4 linked regions of the Schizosaccharomyces pombe genome follow. Changing the gene in region 1 together with any one later gene gives a genetic interaction. Each region holds a gene or a part of one and is shown in the gene's direction. Other genes may lie near its edges. The genes, in order: fta6, apt1, csk1 and cmk1.

Evidence for each region.
Region 2: mutations in fta6 (region 1) and apt1 together harm fitness more than expected from each alone (negative genetic interaction), as found in Schizosaccharomyces pombe (one large-scale study listed by BioGRID).
Region 3: mutations in fta6 (region 1) and csk1 together harm fitness more than expected from each alone (negative genetic interaction), as found in Schizosaccharomyces pombe (one large-scale study listed by BioGRID).
Region 4: mutations in fta6 (region 1) and cmk1 together harm fitness more than expected from each alone (negative genetic interaction), as found in Schizosaccharomyces pombe (one large-scale study listed by BioGRID).

The regions. Positions count from the first base shown.
Region 1 is NC_003424.3:4,781,212-4,784,620, reverse strand, and holds fta6 (protein Fta6), read left to right. Parts: upstream 1-2,314; 5' UTR 2,315-2,347; coding exon 2,348-2,378; intron 2,379-2,425; coding exon 2,426-2,574; downstream 2,575-3,409. Other genes in the region: ARP2/3 actin-organizing complex actin-related protein subunit Arp2, read right to left, coding at 344-1,468, 1,519-1,566; pheromone p-factor receptor Mam2, read right to left, coding at 2,887-3,409. UniProt on the Schizosaccharomyces pombe protein: Component of the kinetochore, a multiprotein complex that assembles on centromeric DNA and attaches chromosomes to spindle microtubules, mediating chromosome segregation and sister chromatid segregation during meiosis and mitosis.
Region 2 is NC_003424.3:4,081,313-4,085,381, forward strand, and holds apt1 (adenine phosphoribosyltransferase), read left to right. Parts: upstream 1-2,343; 5' UTR 2,344-2,373; coding exon 2,374-2,457; intron 2,458-2,497; exon of another isoform or gene 2,498-2,635; coding exon 2,636-3,118; 3' UTR 3,119-3,284; downstream 3,285-4,069. Other genes in the region: ted1 (phosphoprotein phosphatase), read right to left, coding at 171-1,463; alpha mannosidase Mnl1, read right to left, coding at 3,708-4,069.
Region 3 is NC_003424.3:647,646-652,123, reverse strand, and holds csk1 (cyclin-dependent kinase-activating kinase Csk1), read left to right. Parts: upstream 1-2,558; 5' UTR 2,559-2,730; coding exon 2,731-3,234; exon of another isoform or gene 3,235-3,294; coding exon 3,295-3,510; exon of another isoform or gene 3,511-3,622; coding exon 3,623-3,823; downstream 3,824-4,478. Other genes in the region: phosphatidylinositol synthase (CDP-diacylglycerol--inositol 3-phosphatidyltransferase) Pis1, read right to left, coding at 276-931, 1,579-1,636; erd101 (EXS domain-containing protein), read left to right, coding at 4,316-4,394, 4,447-4,478. UniProt on the Schizosaccharomyces pombe protein: Acts as a CAK-activating kinase that specifically activates crk1 of the crk1-mcs2 CAK complex.
Region 4 is NC_003424.3:1,736,427-1,741,308, reverse strand, and holds cmk1 (calcium/calmodulin-dependent protein kinase Cmk1), read left to right. Parts: upstream 1-2,008; 5' UTR 2,009-2,221; coding exon 2,222-2,385; exon of another isoform or gene 2,386-2,432; coding exon 2,433-2,487; exon of another isoform or gene 2,488-2,554; coding exon 2,555-2,645; exon of another isoform or gene 2,646-2,717; coding exon 2,718-3,048; intron 3,049-3,110; coding exon 3,111-3,477; 3' UTR 3,478-3,856; downstream 3,857-4,882. Other genes in the region: potassium ion/proton antiporter Kha1, read left to right, coding at 1-693; mdv1 (CCR4-Not complex subunit Caf4/Mdv1), read right to left, coding at 4,361-4,882. UniProt on the Schizosaccharomyces pombe protein: Important in cell cycle regulation.

The DNA.
Region 1 (3,409 bases):
CTAATAAGAAAACGCCCTAAATGGGCGAAACCAAATATATACGTCACGGGAGTCTAGTCATTAAGTCTGTTGCTATTGAAGTGTACTAGTGCATATTGAGTAAATAAGATCGTTGGTTACAAAAAGGTTGTATAAACATCAAGCATAAGTAAATAGCCCATCAAAAGAAAAAGGAATCAAAAAGGCAAATAAAAGAAGGAATCGTACCGTCTTTTAACGATGGTCGGATTAAACAGAAAACGTAATCATTTAGCAAAGTTTGAAATTTATGAATCAAACTTCGTATAACTCAATTTACTAGCACATAAAAAGAAAGAAACAGAACATTAAACATAAATATACTCTAAGTAGTTCTAGGACCCAATTTGTCTAGTGCACGTACTCCATACTCCTCCCATTCTGCCTTGGACACCCACATGTGATCGTTTTGAGCCATGATATCTGCCAATACGGCGCCGCCGATAAACACGGCATGACGGCGACGAGGAGCGTCTTCAATCTTAACCTTAAAGTTAGGCAAACGTGCGGGATCTCCATGAAGAACACGCTCAAACCATAACTGTTTTATTTCCTTTTCAAGACGTGAAGGAAGACCGGCATACATACTGCTACCACCTGAGAGAACAATGGCGCGATACAAATACTTGCGAATGTCCACATCAGCTGCTTGGATAGTGTCAAAAATAAATTCACTCAAACCTGGTTGTTCACTACCAACCAGATGAGGTTGAAATAGACATTCTGGACATTCATAACGCTCAGAACCAACTTTAATAACTCTTCCATCAGGAAGGGTGTAATTACGCATTAAAACGGTAGTTTCTTCGCTAAGCTTATGGTCCAATTCCAAATCATAACTAACGTAACAAAGTTTTTCTTTCATCTCGCGAACAGTTTCAAAGTCTGCTGTACGATTGAAAGCATAACCCTTACGAAGAAGTAAGCTAATCAAATAGCGGGTAGCATCCCTACCGGCAACGTCAAGGCGACCAACTAAATGATTTAAAACAACACTTTCATAGACAGGCACAATATGGGTTACACCGTCACCAGAATCAACAACTACACCACTGCTTAATCCCTGTGCGTATAAAGAGAGAACGGCCTGAATGGCGACATAAACACCACCAAAACCATACCGTTCAAACATTGTCTCACACATTTTTTCGCGGTTAGCAACAGGATTCATAGGGGGCTCGGTCAACAAAATTTTCCTACCCCTCGGATCAATTTTTAGTTTTTCAAAGAAAGTGTAATCCCAAAGTTGATTCATCTCTTCAAAATCACGGATAATGCCATTTTCCATGGGATATTTTACTTGAAGTAAAGATCTCACCGCCTCAGCTTCATCACCGACCATAACATCTTTAATTTGAACATTTCCTGTTTTCTCTTCAGCACGTAAAATGGGCCTTCCTACGATGGATGGGAATTGAAAGCGCGGAAAATTGTCTTTAGCATATCCGACCTTGCTAACGTTAGTCACAGTGTAAACAAAGATTTAATTAAACTGATTACCTTCACAAAACCAGTTCCATTATCTAGAACAATGGGAGCAGACTCCATTTTATAAACGTCTCGTGTAGTTGGTGAAAGGTTAGTTCTTAAGTCCACCCCTATGTAATGTACCGGCGGTAACTATCTGCCATATACCGTATGACACAGCAGCACTGCAACTGTAGCAGAGCATTCGGTGATATATCGTAAATATGTAATATCGTAGGAAAGCGAAGTGCAGTAATCTTGAGAATTATAAAACAGAAATGAAGTATCTAAATTAATTTAACAATTGGCTGCAAAAAGAATAGCTCAAAGGTTTTTACGGTTAATGATCTTATCTTCTATTGTACTTAGCATTAGTATCGTTACCCCTTATACTCAAAGCCATAACTGTGCATTTATAATTGTTCGGCAGTAATGTATATTATCGCTTATTAGTTAAAAGATTCTTCGTTTCACATAGTATTACTATTATTTAAAAGAAAAACACGGACTCTATTTGTTTGTTTAATGTGCAGGTAACACTTCGATCGTTTATTATGAGATTGGTATGACTAGGAGCGCTGTGCAAAAATGAAGAATCGCGGAACCGATTTAATAAAGAATTTATTTCTCTAGTAACTAGATGTGTGCATTAAATTGAATACAAGACTTAAACAAAAGAATTATAATTATCGACATATACCATTATTGAATATTTGTCATCTGTTTACTGAAATAAGTGGAGCAATGCAATTTGAGAATAACACATATCGGTTTAAAGATCCTTATTATATTGCTATTACTAAATTAAGGAGTGTAACGTTTCGCAGCTAAAACATTTCGATACAATATTTGATAAAAATAAATGGAGGATAAATACATTTTATTGTCAGCAGGTTGGTTATAATTTTTATTTAATAGCTCAATACTTACGTGTATATAGTGGAAACGTTTAAATCACGTCTGGAAGAACTGCTAATGCAATCGGCCAAAGTACAAAAGCAAACGATGCTTAGAAAGGAATTAGCTTCTTCGATGAATGATATGGCTTCTACGGTACAAGAAGCTTTAAATAAAAAAAAAAGTTCGTAAGGTAAGCACTTGGAGACTCAAAACATTATAGTTCATTATAGATTACGAAGGCAGTTCATTCACTATTGTTTTAATAAGTGTTTGTGAAGTACGACTTGAAGTTTTCATGATAATAAGTTATTATAATCATATAATTTCATTGATGTTTATAGTAAACAATTGTTCATGAAGCGAAAAAAAAAAAACCATTAGAAAACTTCCCTCTGAGCAAATTATGATTACAAGCCTATCGTAAAAAAACCGTCTATGTTATTTGGGACTGTTATTGAGCCAGTATTAGGAATTATCAAAAAAGATACATTCAGGCGTAAGTTACGTCCACTTTTTAGTTTCAGATTCATCAGAAATCGAATAATCGTCACTGGGAGTATGTTTGATATCAAACGTTCTATCAACTCTAATCGAAACCTCGGTGGTTTCTCCTTGCGCAGATGAAGTTTTCATGCTTTGCAATTTCAGAGCTGTACTAGACGCCCATAAACTCGAAAGAGGAAGAGAAATGATTAGCAGACATTGAGTCATAGAGCTAAAGCCATCATACGTATGGATAAAACTATCTATTATAGTAAAGGTAGCTGGAACAATAAGACATTGGCAGCTAATAACTAAAATACACTGCATCGGACCAAATGGAAATTGCCCAATTTTTTTCCGTATTAATATGGCACGAAAGAGTTTGTATGAAAAAACACCACTGTGAAAAATAATGCTAAAAGCAAAAAGTATTTTAGCAATAAAGTAGGGCCAAGAGTATCCAACAATGGTCTTGCTGCTAAGTGGAGTTAACCATAACAGATACTGAATCTGTTGACACATGTTAGTAATCCAAAATGCG
Region 2 (4,069 bases), 700 kb from region 1:
GGCACCACGTTAATTCAATGAATCTGCAGGTTCTTGGTTAAAAACCAGCAGAATGGCTGGTAAAAAAGGTTGGTTTCTCTCAAATTCACCTAAAGGCTGGATATATTGCCTGTTTAAGAGGCTGGTGTAAATATAAAACTGTTCATTTGAACAATTAGTGCACAACAATGTTAGATATGTTGCAATGATATTACCAATAAACGTAAGATGGTAAGTACGCATACCGATATGTGAAGAGCCCACCAAATATAAGATGGTCCTCCGTGACTCAAGGTATAAGTGGCATATATGTCGGAACTGAATTTTGACTGTTTCAATGAAGCCTTCTTCCATCGTTGGCCAATGAGTTTTTGAATCAGAAATGTAACAACCGAGGGTGTGTTCTTGGAGGACTCTGTAAGAACATCATTTGTCGCGATCAGTTTGACAAAACCAATATTTCCTCCAAAGTACCCCATTGCGCTGGGTAATGTATGTTCGATGGCACCGTTCGGGTGTTCGTAGTCACAACCCATATGATCATGGCCAGAAAGGACCAATTTGATGCTAGGAATCAATTCAAAAATTTTCATAGTAGTATTATACGATAAATGATTTTGAGACTTGACCCGAAAATCCAATTGACGAACGATTCTCGGTTCGTCAACACACACATTAGCTGGTTTGTAGAGTGGCACATGGGTGAACAGTATGGTTGGAATAGACGGCTCTAAAGCAATGTCGAAAAGAAATTGCCAAGCATCCCTAGCTTCTTTTGAAAGAGCAAGTATACCTAATGATGAAAAACTTTTACTGTTAATAATATCGCTAGGGTTCGCATCGTAAAACTGAACATCATCAAGCGAAAGGCTATTTATGCCGATCACACGGACAGGAAATTTAGAAACATTGAAGTGCGAAACCCAATTTACCGGGCCCATAGCTTGTTCCCATTTGCTAATTTGTGCGTCTGAACTTTCGCAGCCATAGCCAATGTCATGATTACCCGCAATCGTCCAAACGGGAATGTTACCGTTTTCAAAAGTACGTGCTGGTAAACTGGAGTTTCCTACTTGCCAAAAGTTTTTTGCCCCAGTGATTTTTTTCAGTCTTTTAGCTCTTTTGTTGAATTCTTCGTTATCCAAGTGCTGAAAACTGACCAAGTCACCCAACAGAATCATCGCATCTGGTTGACCCCAAAACTGATTCATATGTACAAGGTGTCGTAAAAACAAATCATTCCCCCAAAGATCTAAAGTGCCTTTAAAAAATCCATTTGCTTCGATTTTATGATTCCCTTCAATCTGAGGATCAGCAACCCCCATAATAACAAAAGAATTTTCATCTTCGAGTTGCAGCTTTCTTGGCATTATGCCAAATAGTAGAGGATAGGCATAGTAGACAGCTAAAAAAACTAGGCAAAGATAATGTAAAATAGACAGTTGTTTGTTCAACCATAATAAATTCGGATGTCTTGCAAACATTATTGACTTAATTATGTCAACGTAAATTAAAAAAGGGAACGGAGAGAAGGAGCGATTTTTGGAGTGCCTATTTTTACTTAGGAGCAGACTAAACGAGTAATGTAGAGGCGTAAGATTTTGGTTTTTGCTTTACTTACTAGATTATATAAATGGTATACCACCATAAAAGTGTCAATAAAGCTTTTTAGAAAGATTTGCTTTCAAATAACAAGAAATGAGCAGAACAGAATAGAAAAACAAAAAGCACAAATGAAACAACAAAACTTATTTTTCTAATCCATGAAGCTAGTAAATGGGTAATTTATAGGTATAGCTGCAGTATTCGAACAAACCCACTGCTAAAATTTAGATTGCAAATCAATGGTCAAATGATTGATTCAAAATTCCTGAAAAAGAAGCTTGGTTCTTAGAAAAATGTGTATCGATGTTTGCCGTTGAAATTTTTTTCTGAATTGAATTAATACCAAGTGTATCAGTATAACTGGCTTAAACAAATTAAAAAATAAGCTTTCTACTGAATGTAATAGCAAAAAACGGCTAATAATCTTGACCGAAGTTTGTTTAATGATGAACAACGGATATGACTGAAATTGCTTGAAGTGTATATCAAACTAAAGAAGGAATACCTCAAAACATGGAGTTGTGGCTGACAGTTTTCACGAAGAAAGGAATGGAAAAGAGCGTCGAATTTCAAACATAAACGTTTCTTTTAGAGCTCGTCTTAGCTGCCAAAGTTAACCCGGTACACTACTTAGTATTAATAGGTGAATTATGACTGACGTTTTTTACATTAAACGGATGGTAACATGTTACTTGAAAACAGCAGTCCAAAATTTTCGCTGCATAGACGGTAACGGAAATTGAGTATTTATTTTTTTTTGTAGAAGTTTTTACATAGCAATTTACTAAAATGTCCGACGATAGAATCAATTACCTTAAGAATAAACTTGTTCAATATCCAGATTTTCCCAAAAAGGGAATCTTGTTTGAAGATGTAAGATTTTATAGAAGGAGGAAATGCGCGAGGTTGGATAGGAACGGTGATATTATTTTGCTCAATTAGCGTGAAGTTTGAATCCAAAATACAATTCGAGAGGTTATATTATCTTTACGCCTTGCAATTGCTTAAATACTCTGTTAAATTATAAACAATAAGATGCTAATGTTATTAGATAATGCCCATTTTTCAAGATCCCAGAGCCTTTGGCATCCTTATCGATCTTTTGCTTGAAGCCGTTGAAACTGAATTCAATAACATTGATGTGATTGTTGGTTTGGAGGCGCGTGGATTTCTTTTTGGACCTACGTTGGCTTTACGTGCAAATTGTGCATTTGTCCCTGTCCGTAAGCCCAACAAGCTTCCCGGTGATTTGGTCGTCGTAAGCTACAATAAGGAATATTCTACTGATTCTTTTGCAATCCAAAAGGGTACTATTAAACCCGGTCAAAGAGTCTTAATAGTTGACGACATTCTTGCTACTGGTGGCACCGCCTTGGCTGCTGATGAACTCGTTACTCGTTTGGGTGGTGAATTAGTTGGACATCTCTTCCTTTTAGAACTTACATTTCTTCAAGGACGTAAGCGTCTTATGGCTCCTACTTATACACTTCTTACTGGACAGGATGAAGCACCTGATGGTAGTGAATTTGCTTAAACTATGAACTCGAAGTATGTATAAGCATTTCTAATTTTTAACGTTATATTTGCTTTATTCCTTTTTTATAAATGTTTAGGGTTCTGGGTTTTTTTCTATGGTTTATTCGTCAAGCTAGGATTTTTTTAGTCTAAGTTGTAAATTGAATAAGTTATACATTTTTCAACTAGTATTCTAAAAAGTAGGATTTTTGTTAGCAAATATATATAAATCGGGTGGAAATCGATATCTTAAAATGAAAAAAAAGAAAAAAGGATGCAACATCATAAGGAGAAAAGCTTATAAGGGTCATAAAGGGTATAATTTTTAGAATGGTCAATACCACGCTTTTCTTTAATATAAATAGGTAGATACATTCAGCTTATTATAAGCCTATTGACGAATCCACGTTATAATATAGCCCTCGATTAAAAGTATAATTACAAGAGAAAGCTGAATTATCCAAATATACTTTTATTAAGTATTGAATGGATAAACATCTATAGGCTTTGAAATCACGCAGCACAAATATTTTTTAAATAGTAAAAAGCATATATGACCGCAAGTCTATACACATGCGTAAATAAAAAATCACAAAACAGCGTTATTCCTAGCTGTTTATGCATTTCAGACACAAATATAGGTTTGAAACTGGAGTTCCTTGGAAGTACGAAGGGGCGTCAAAGTCTGATTGACGCACAGAGACGTTGGCCCATTTAGAAACAAAATTGTTTTCATTTTTTAAGAGAATAGTCGGAGGGATGTATGGTTTAACCCAATTGAATAGACTGTTTTGAGAATGAATATTTTCTAACGGATTAATAAATTCACCATCCGTGATGAGAATTAACAATCCTGCCTTATTGGTATTTTTTGCTTGCTGCACCCATGAGCAGTTGCCAAGTGGAGCAATATATGCTGTATCTTTGTCGAGAGTATCGGAGGGTTTTTGACACATACTGTTATTTAACA
Region 3 (4,478 bases), 4.1 Mb from region 1:
TTAATCAGTGCAATCACTCCAACCAAGCTTTTAAAGGTGACAGAAAATAATCCCAAAGGCTAAGCTTAACACAAAAGTGCTTAGCCCAATAGAATTAAGGCTTTTAGAAAGAGAAAATGTCAAAAAAAAGGTATTGAATTATAAGAGGTAAAATCAAAGAGAATGCACAAAGTAAGCTTGCAGATCTAAGGTCGAGGATGTTCAGATTGAAACCATCCTGATTAAAAATAGAAAATTTGGTAAACAGAAAATATGAAAATAGGATAACCCTGTGTTTATTGAAGCTTCTTTGCAGCCCTTCTTTGCTCAACATCCATTTTAACCAAGGCATTGGCAGCATTCACCAGCTGAACAACGTTAATAATTTGTTTGGCAAGGCAAATAGGACCACATAAAACGGCTAGAAGGGTCGGATAGGAAAGAGGGAGCTCTCCAGTCGAATAAATGAAGGAAGGAACTGGTAAGTAGCCAAGTTTGGGAGGAGTACGTGGGGTAAAAGATAGTAAATAAAGAGCAACGAAAAACATCTCATTAGCAGCGCAAAAGATGAATAAAACTTTATTGTTTCCATAGTAAAGTCTCAGCATCCAGTTATGCTTCTTTGTTACCGTTTTGTGTGAGGAAGCACCTTGATGAAGAGTGCTGTACATATGCATATAATGGCTGGCAAGGTCCAAGCTAACTAACAGTTGAAAAATTATAGCATATTTTGGATAAGCAGCACATAAAAAGCAAAGCAAGCACGAGGTGGCGCATCGGTCTGTGACCATATCCAAAATTGCACCGAAATTGGTGGCTTGATGCAATTTGCGCGCCGCCCAACCATCAAAAGCGTCAAGTAAACTTGAGTATAAATACACAATAGTACAATAATTTGGGTGCCATGACATAAAGTACAACGAAATAAGTACCAAAAAAACCCTAGTAAAACCTAAACAAAGAGTCAGAATACTGAACAATTATAAGAATGAAAGTCCAGCGCTAATTTCAGCATATTGAGAAAAGAGGCCATAAAAGATAATGATTCACAAAGTTTTAGTAATTTTGAAAAGTGACGAAAATGATGCTTTTATAATAGAGATAACTTGACTTGACGCAATAGATTATTTTCAAAAGGGTAAGTAAATCTGTTAAGTCTAAGAACACCTTAAAATTATTAAGCACAACAAATAATTTTACGCACATCTAAAGTCTCATTCATTATTTTAATTAACTTCCGAAAAAGCATACAAAGTATCCAATACTCCGCTCATAGCTTGCCCAGAGCAAAAAGGAAAATCATTTGACAGCTTTAAAAATTTAACTCGCATATTTCTTAAAATATGGTTCAGTTGGTGCTTTGAGCAACATGAATTCTATGTAGGCTCAATTGCTTACATCGAATGGCAAAACAAATGTAGAAAGCATACAGCCTTTTTTTTCTTTAAAAAGCTGATAGGAAAAAAATATCAAAAAAAAGTATCATTTCGAAAAGGCTTTGACCAACCTTCCGGGTAAGACATAATTAAAGAAGGAAATGTAGACCTTTTTGCTCAACATAGCTTTGTTGCTGTAACAAGACTTCCGAATAATACTCACCAATCAAATTTGGTACAAAAAAGTACACGTTTGGGTCTTTCTGCTCGTTCTTTCCCATTGTAACTAATGTTGCAAAAGGAAGATACAGCGTTAGTGGTCTGCCATAAAGCTTACCGCAATATCGCTTTCCGTTGGAATACGCAAAAAAAATATTACCGCCCGTACGAAATCACCGTAATTAATATTATAAAAGGCCAACGTAGGATTGTTTTCGTTTCGCTAAGCTTATTACCTTCTTTGGAACAAAACACTTGCGCGACAATCATAACCTAGCTTATTTAAGGTTACCTTGACTCAGTTCAATTATTAATGGTTTTGCACGAGTAATTTCTTTCATGTTTGTAGAATTATGAATTAAAATATTTAATAAAATTATTTATCTATTTTTTTAAGCTGTTACTGAGAAACAGTTCTTGATTTAACTATTTTTTTTTTTTTTTTTTTTTGACACTGTCAGTAATAATCTCGAAACATCATTGCGTAAAACATTTCATAGACAATCATTATTAATATTTCTTTAATAAATTAATATTTTTTCTAATTTCCTATAACAGCAGCGATTTTTGGAAACAGATAAAGTAGTAAAAGATTAAACCTATACATCTCACCATTTTTGACAATTCGAGTAAGGTAATGTAGACGCATTTGACACATATATGATCTCTAAAACAATTAAAACACTTATTATCACAAAGATATTTTTTTCATTCAAGCAAACAAAGCGAAAAAAAAATAAAAATAAAAAAAGAATTCTTAGTATTCTTCCTTACTACAAAAATTCATACTCTGACTTTATAAGTGTACTACAAATGTATAAAGTACATATAAGAATGGTATCTATTTATATTTTTTTAAAAGCATTATCCAATATCTTTTTAGCATCATCATGCGAGATCACAGTTAGGCTTTCATCTGGTGGCCATCCTTCACCGCCAGTACATATCTATATGTCTGCTCTCATTAAAGTTTGTAAAAAGAGTAAGCCTCACCTCCAAACACATTGCATAAAAAGAAAAACATATTGCGTAAAACACCTTGCGATAAGTAATTTTCAAAGTTTTATATTACAACGTTTTAGCTGTTTTTTATTTTGTTAGATAGGCTTAAAATTTCAAGTGAAATCAATCAGGAACGATTGAATTTATAAATTTAATGAAATCAGTCGGTCATTTCGTTCCGTGGCTCACTGATATAAGGCACCTGACGGATGGCACTATTAGTGAAGTGTTCGTGGGTGAAAGAAAGAATAGCAAAAAACTATATGTTATTAAAGTTCAAGGTTTAGTATTTAAAAGGCCACCTCACGATGCCATGAGAGGCAAGCTTATTTTAGAGTCAATAGGCCATCCACACATTGAAAGGATAGTGGACTCTTTCATAGACAATGAAGCAGGATCCGTTTACCTTATAACGAGTTTTAAATCGTTTGTTCTATCAGATGTGATGGATGAAATTTCAATTGATACAAAATGCAAGATCGTATTGCAAATAAGTAGCGCCCTTGAATACCTAGAAAAGCATGGGATTCTGCATCGTGATATTCATCCAAATAATATACTATTGGATTCAATGAATGGCCCCGCTTATCTATCTGATTTCAGTATTGCTTGGTCCAAACAGCATCCAGGAGAAGAAGTGCAGGAACTCATTCCCCAAGTATGTTAAAGAGAGTTTTATATTTTGCCGAACCTGCAAGATTTCTAACGTTTTTTTTAGATTGGAACTGGTCATTATAGAGCAATTGAAACCTTGTTCGGCTGTCATTCTTATGGTCATGAAGTCGATCGTTGGACATTTGGCATTCTGATCGCTGAACTATTTTCCAATCAAGCTTTGTTTGACGATGGATCTTCTGAAGGATGGCCTAGTGAATTAAGGTTAACAAGCAGTATTATTCAAACTTTGGGTACTCCAAATCCAAGCATGTGGCCTGTAAGTTTCAAATCTTTAACATTATATCTGAGCCTTTGAACAAAAACAAAACATTTTAGACTTTTTTTTTAAATAATAGGGTTTCATGCAGATTTTGCTAACTGTTTTTAAGGAACTTTCGACTTTCCCAGATTGGAATAAATTTATATTTCATGAATATCCACCCAAACCTTGGTCAGAAATTTTACCATCTGTTGATACTTCAATTCAGTATATAGTTTCGCATCTTGTCACATACTCAAATCGGGCTTCACCATCCTTCGTGATTGAGTCATTCCCTAAAGTATCTGCTAGGCTTTCACAATATGCATAAAATTTACTCTCAGGATTGGTGTAGGAAATACATAATTTATTTTAAAGGACAGTAGAAATAAACAGGTAGGCAATACTACCGTAGGAATTAATTATCTTAGCTTCAGTTAATATTCTTTTGTCTTTTTATTAAAAACTCCTTTTGATAATACTGAGTTTTATAGTAATATCCAACGTTGAATATCTAGTGCAATAAATCGCAACGATAATCTGTAATTCTACGCACAGCATTTCTTCAATCTCACATTAGGTTGATCACTTGTATTAAACAACCGAATAGGCCTACATCTGTTTTGTTTCCCACAACTTAGATACTTATTTTGGTAGCTTGATGCGCATGCTAACCGTGCACGACTACGCAATTTGGTACCGAACTCTTCCTCCCTTCTCACATCTACCTGAGCATTTAATGCCGCTAAAAATTGTATTGGAAGATAATAAAACATTCTTCAAATACTTTAAATTATGCATCTAGCCTAGTGACGGCTTAAAGATGGATTTGGAAGTCGTGGAGTTTCCCTTGCACCACAAATTAGCGCTTCCGTTTCGTATAGGTCTTCTGGTTATAGTCGGTATGAACTTAAGATTTTCAATTTACTAATACTAACAATCTCTATTCTTTAGGTACCTGGTTATGGTCAGTTTGTTATCATTTA
Region 4 (4,882 bases), 3.0 Mb from region 1:
AAAGGCTCTACATATGAAAGAAGCAAGGTTGTAATTCTCATATATTTGGGTACTGAAAATGATTTAATTGCATTGGAGCTTTTACTTAAGTTTTTGTATGAAGAGACGAGTATAGCCTATATTTACACATATGATGAATTCTATAAAGATGATTATGCGACGTCATTGCCTAATGTCGTTTACACAAGTGAAGTGCTGTTAAGCAAGCATAATGACTCAGCTTTTAAGGTATGGCCGAAACTTCGAAAAAACATTCGAAAAATAACTAAGCCAAACGGATTTACAACAGACCAGCATTCTCAGACCTTTATTCCTTCTCAAACACATACGAAACTCGATTTGAGATTATCTGATGTAACAGATAGTGTTCGGTCGAGGATTAATGTAGTAAAATTTGGAAATTTAAACTCACTTTTGAGTTGTCTTCATGAACTTATTCAACCTGCAACCTTGACCCCTTCTTTCGAGACAGAAAAGAGTATAACCATGTTTTTAGGCTGTAGGGATAAACAAGCTGTGAGCGAAAAACTTGAGGTGGCTGCACTGTCGGAGATGAAGAAATTGGGTTACATTGAGTCTAGCTCAGAATTTGGTATGCTTGCAGGTTTAATTCCGTTAGTGCTGTTGAGCAATTTTCCATTAATAGATTTCTTTTTAGGGAAGGCACCTACAAAGATGGTTCAAGGTTATTGATTAATTTCAGGTTTTTATTGCATCCATCTCATAATTTATTTTTAATTAATGATTTAAATGGTTTTCATAATTTATTTGGAATCCAAAGGATCGACTATATTATTTTCAATGTTAGAATTAATGCATTCATCTCTATTCGTTATTCGCAATGTAGAAAACTTGTTTTATACCTTAATAAGAAGAAGTTACTTAGGGTTCTTCTAGTTTTTGGCTATATCGCGATTTATCAAAAAGTGTTATTTAAGAGTTGAATAGTTTACATTGTAGACTCATCTTCCTTCAAAAACCCATGTGAGTTTAAACCCTTATTGGTTTCGTCTGTTTAAACCGATACTTTGAATTTATATCATAGCAAGGGTAAAGTACTGTAGAACAAATGGAGTCAAGCATGCATGCGCATTTTTTACTATTTACTTCTTCAACATTATCTCCAATACATTTCGACTAACTATCATACAAGAAGCATATGAGAAATTAACATACCATACTCACTGCTATTGTAAAATGTATGGTATTCCTTTCAGAAGGTAGTTCGGTTCTTTCTCAAATAACTAAATACCTCTTCCAAGATGGAAAAGATTATAAAAGTAATCATTCAAAATCGATTTTATTAGCTCAATTTACACTCAGTCTGTTTTTCACAATTTTTGTTACAGTATGAATCTTTGTTACGTGGTTACCTTTTCGTATTCTGTTCTATGTTGTTAATACGCTTACTGTATTTAAACAAACTAAAATGCATGGGATAGCGCATTATTACGGTATACGTTAGTGACCAATATTCGCCATGATGGCTTGTTATATCTACTTAACTCTCATGAGCTGGTAATATCAGCGAAATTTCAAGCAGTTCGCGTTTTGCCAATTGCTCATAAAACTGCGATTTTTTAAGGATTGTATAATTAAATTCAATTCTTTAAATAATTGTGTTGCATTGTTACAGTGTTTGGTGGTTTCAATACGCTAATTGTAATTTTGATCTTTCTGATCTTGTTTTCTCTTAGAAGAGGAAAATAGGTACGGAAATTACTGAACCGATTGGGAATTACCAGGATTTATGACTATACTGCAGACTACTGGTTTTGCAATTGCAAATCAGTTGGACGGTATTTATCAGACGCTGGTTTTCTTGTTATCTTCATCAATACTATTCGGGTACATTCAATATCAATATCCTGTTAAATCCGAGGATTTCAATATACCTTTTCCAAATTTTTCCATATTTACAAGTTGAGGCTAAGCACTTATTGTCATAAGTTGGTGGACAGTCATTGCGCTGCTTAGATCATTCTGTTATTGAACCACCGTTTAACTCAACAGCCTGCTTCGCGCAAATAATATTTTCTTTATTGTTTCTACGGGATTTTTTTCATTTACATACCTTTACATTTTTGGTTTCATAAAAGAATTCTGTAGTACAGAATTGTTTATGGCACCATCTAACAATACAATAATTTACATTAAGAGAAACCTTTTACGTTTACCTTCGTTGGCATTGGAATAATTCATCTATTGATTCTTTACAGCTATGCAGCAAACATACAAACCAAACACCTCGGCCTTGAAAGACGGTGCTCCAAAGGCTACGGTGGATCAGAAACAACTATTACCTTGCAAATATCGTGTCGGTCGGGTTTTGGGAGGCGGAACATATGCGACGGTTCGTGAAGCCGTTCATATCGAAACTAACAAGTAAGTATATTTTAAATTCGAGTTGTTTGCTGACCAAATTTTCATAGAATGTATGCGGCTAAGATTATGAATAAAAAGATGATGGAGAAGAAACAAGACTTTGTAAGTAAAGACTTAAGTACTTACAGCATCCTTATTTACGTTTACTAACATGTTTTTGGTGGTATAGGTGAAGAATGAAATTGCAATTCTAAAACGTGTTTCTTATGAACATCCTAATATCTTACACTTGGTTGATTTTTTTGAAACTGTGAATAATCGTATGTCTCCGATTTCGATTTGATGAATCAAATGTTATTGTGATGTGTTTTGTTCACTAACCCTTGAAACAGTGTACTTAATCACTGAACTGGCCACCGGTGGTGAACTTTTTGATAGAATATGTGCCAAAGGTTCATTTTATGAGGCCGATGCTGCTGCTTTAATGCGTACTACCACATCAGCAGTTAAGTACTTGCATGACAATGGAATTGTACATCGAGATTTGAAGCCAGAAAATTTACTTTATCGCTCTAAAGATCCGAATTCAGATTTGTTAATTGCCGATTTTGGATTGTCCCACTTTTATGAGGATTCTCAATACTATATGCTCATGACGGCATGTGGGACACCAGAGTACATGGCACCCGAAGTCTTTCGTCGAACCGGATATGGAAAACCTGTGTAAGTTGATCAACTACCATTTTAATTCAGAAGTTATGTATCTTGACTAATACTGTTTATAGAGATATGTGGGCTATTGGCGTTATAACTTATTTTTTACTCAGTGGTTATACTCCATTTGCTCGACCTTCTCAGGTTGAAGTTATAGAAGCAATTTTAGCTAACGAGTACACTTTTAACGATCCTTGCTGGTCTGGCATTTCAGAAACGGCCAAGGACTTTATTAAAAAATGTTTGGAAAACGACCCTTCGAAACGTTTAACTGCTGCTGATGCGTTGAAGCACCCCTTCCTGTCTGAAAAGCGTCCCGCAACCTCCAATTTGCTTCCAAACGTCCGGGAAAATTTCAATGCAAGAAAAACGTTCCGTACTGCCTATAACGCTGTACGTGCTTTCAACACTTGGAAAAAGCTTGAGAATAAGCATTAATTATACACATCTTTTCTTATAACTTTCTTATTTTATCTTGTTATGACTTATGACTTCTTTATTATCTTTTGCCCTCAGTACATACTTTTTTGGTATTAACACTCTTACATGTTAAATATATTCTTTGTGATTTGGAATGCTTGGACCTATCATGTTCTCTACTTAGTTTTTAAAATAGCCTCATACAAAATGCTAAAAGTTATGTCGATGTTTTAAAAAGTAACGCTACCAGTTTTCTGACATTGTTAGACTGTTGACGACAGATGAACGCAGTTGTTTAATTCTCTATATATATTGCAGATGTAAAATTTTGAAATTTTAGCATTTATGACTATTTATGCTTCAAAAATAAAATGACCATTCAGTTAATCTGAAATATAAAAAGAGCTTGGTTATTTCCATATTTTACTCACTGTGTGAGTTCAAATTGCTAATTTCAAAAAGATTCTTCAATACTTATTATGTGTAGTTGACATTAAACACGCTGAGCGTGTTTTGTAAACTGGATCAACAAAATGAAATACAACATCTCAGATCAGAATGAGGTTGCGTACTTCATACTAGTAAAACCAAAAAAATGTAAACTAGAAAAGATTTTTATTTACTAAATTTTAAACCTACAGTATAAGAAGCAGAAGGGAGGTGGTGATCAAACAATTTGCTTTGAGAATTTTTTTAAATATTTTGAACAAAATTAACATCACAGTTTTTTATTCGCAATGTCTCGTTCCTTTTTATTTGTCCATAAATAAATAAAAAAACCAAACAGAAGTTAATACCCATTAACCAAAGCATAAAGACATAAAATTTTAAAATTAACGTTATCCAGATTCAACACAATAACGAGAGTATAATAAATAAAGGTGTGGATAAAAAATACAAATTAAGCAGAAAAAACGCTAACAGATCCATCAGACTTTCCATCCACCAAAAAGCGATCTTTATATTGAACAGAAGTAGGTACTGAGTTAGGTTCGGCTGCTATGGAATCAGAGTGAGAAGGAATTGAACAAATCCAGTTCCGATTAGATACAGTATCAAATATCCTAACATTTGGTTCATCAGATGCTACAGCAAGACGACCTTGATACAGTCTTAAGGAATTCACTTTTTTCTCCATAGGTATAATATTAATTGGCGAGCCACTTCGTAAATCCCATATTCTAACAGAATTGTCATAGCTTCCGGAATACAAATGGTTGGAATCGAATTGCAAAGAAGAAATAGGAGCTGTGTGCCCAATGAAACTTCTCACAGGAAGACCGATTCGCAAATCCCAGATGCGAATAAGTCCATCGACAGTCCCACTAGCCACAGCAGCATCTAAGCAGTCTAAAGCTCTGATGAAAGGTTCTTGTTTGTAAGTGTCACTGACCAAAATTTGACTAGTAGATGTATCATGAGT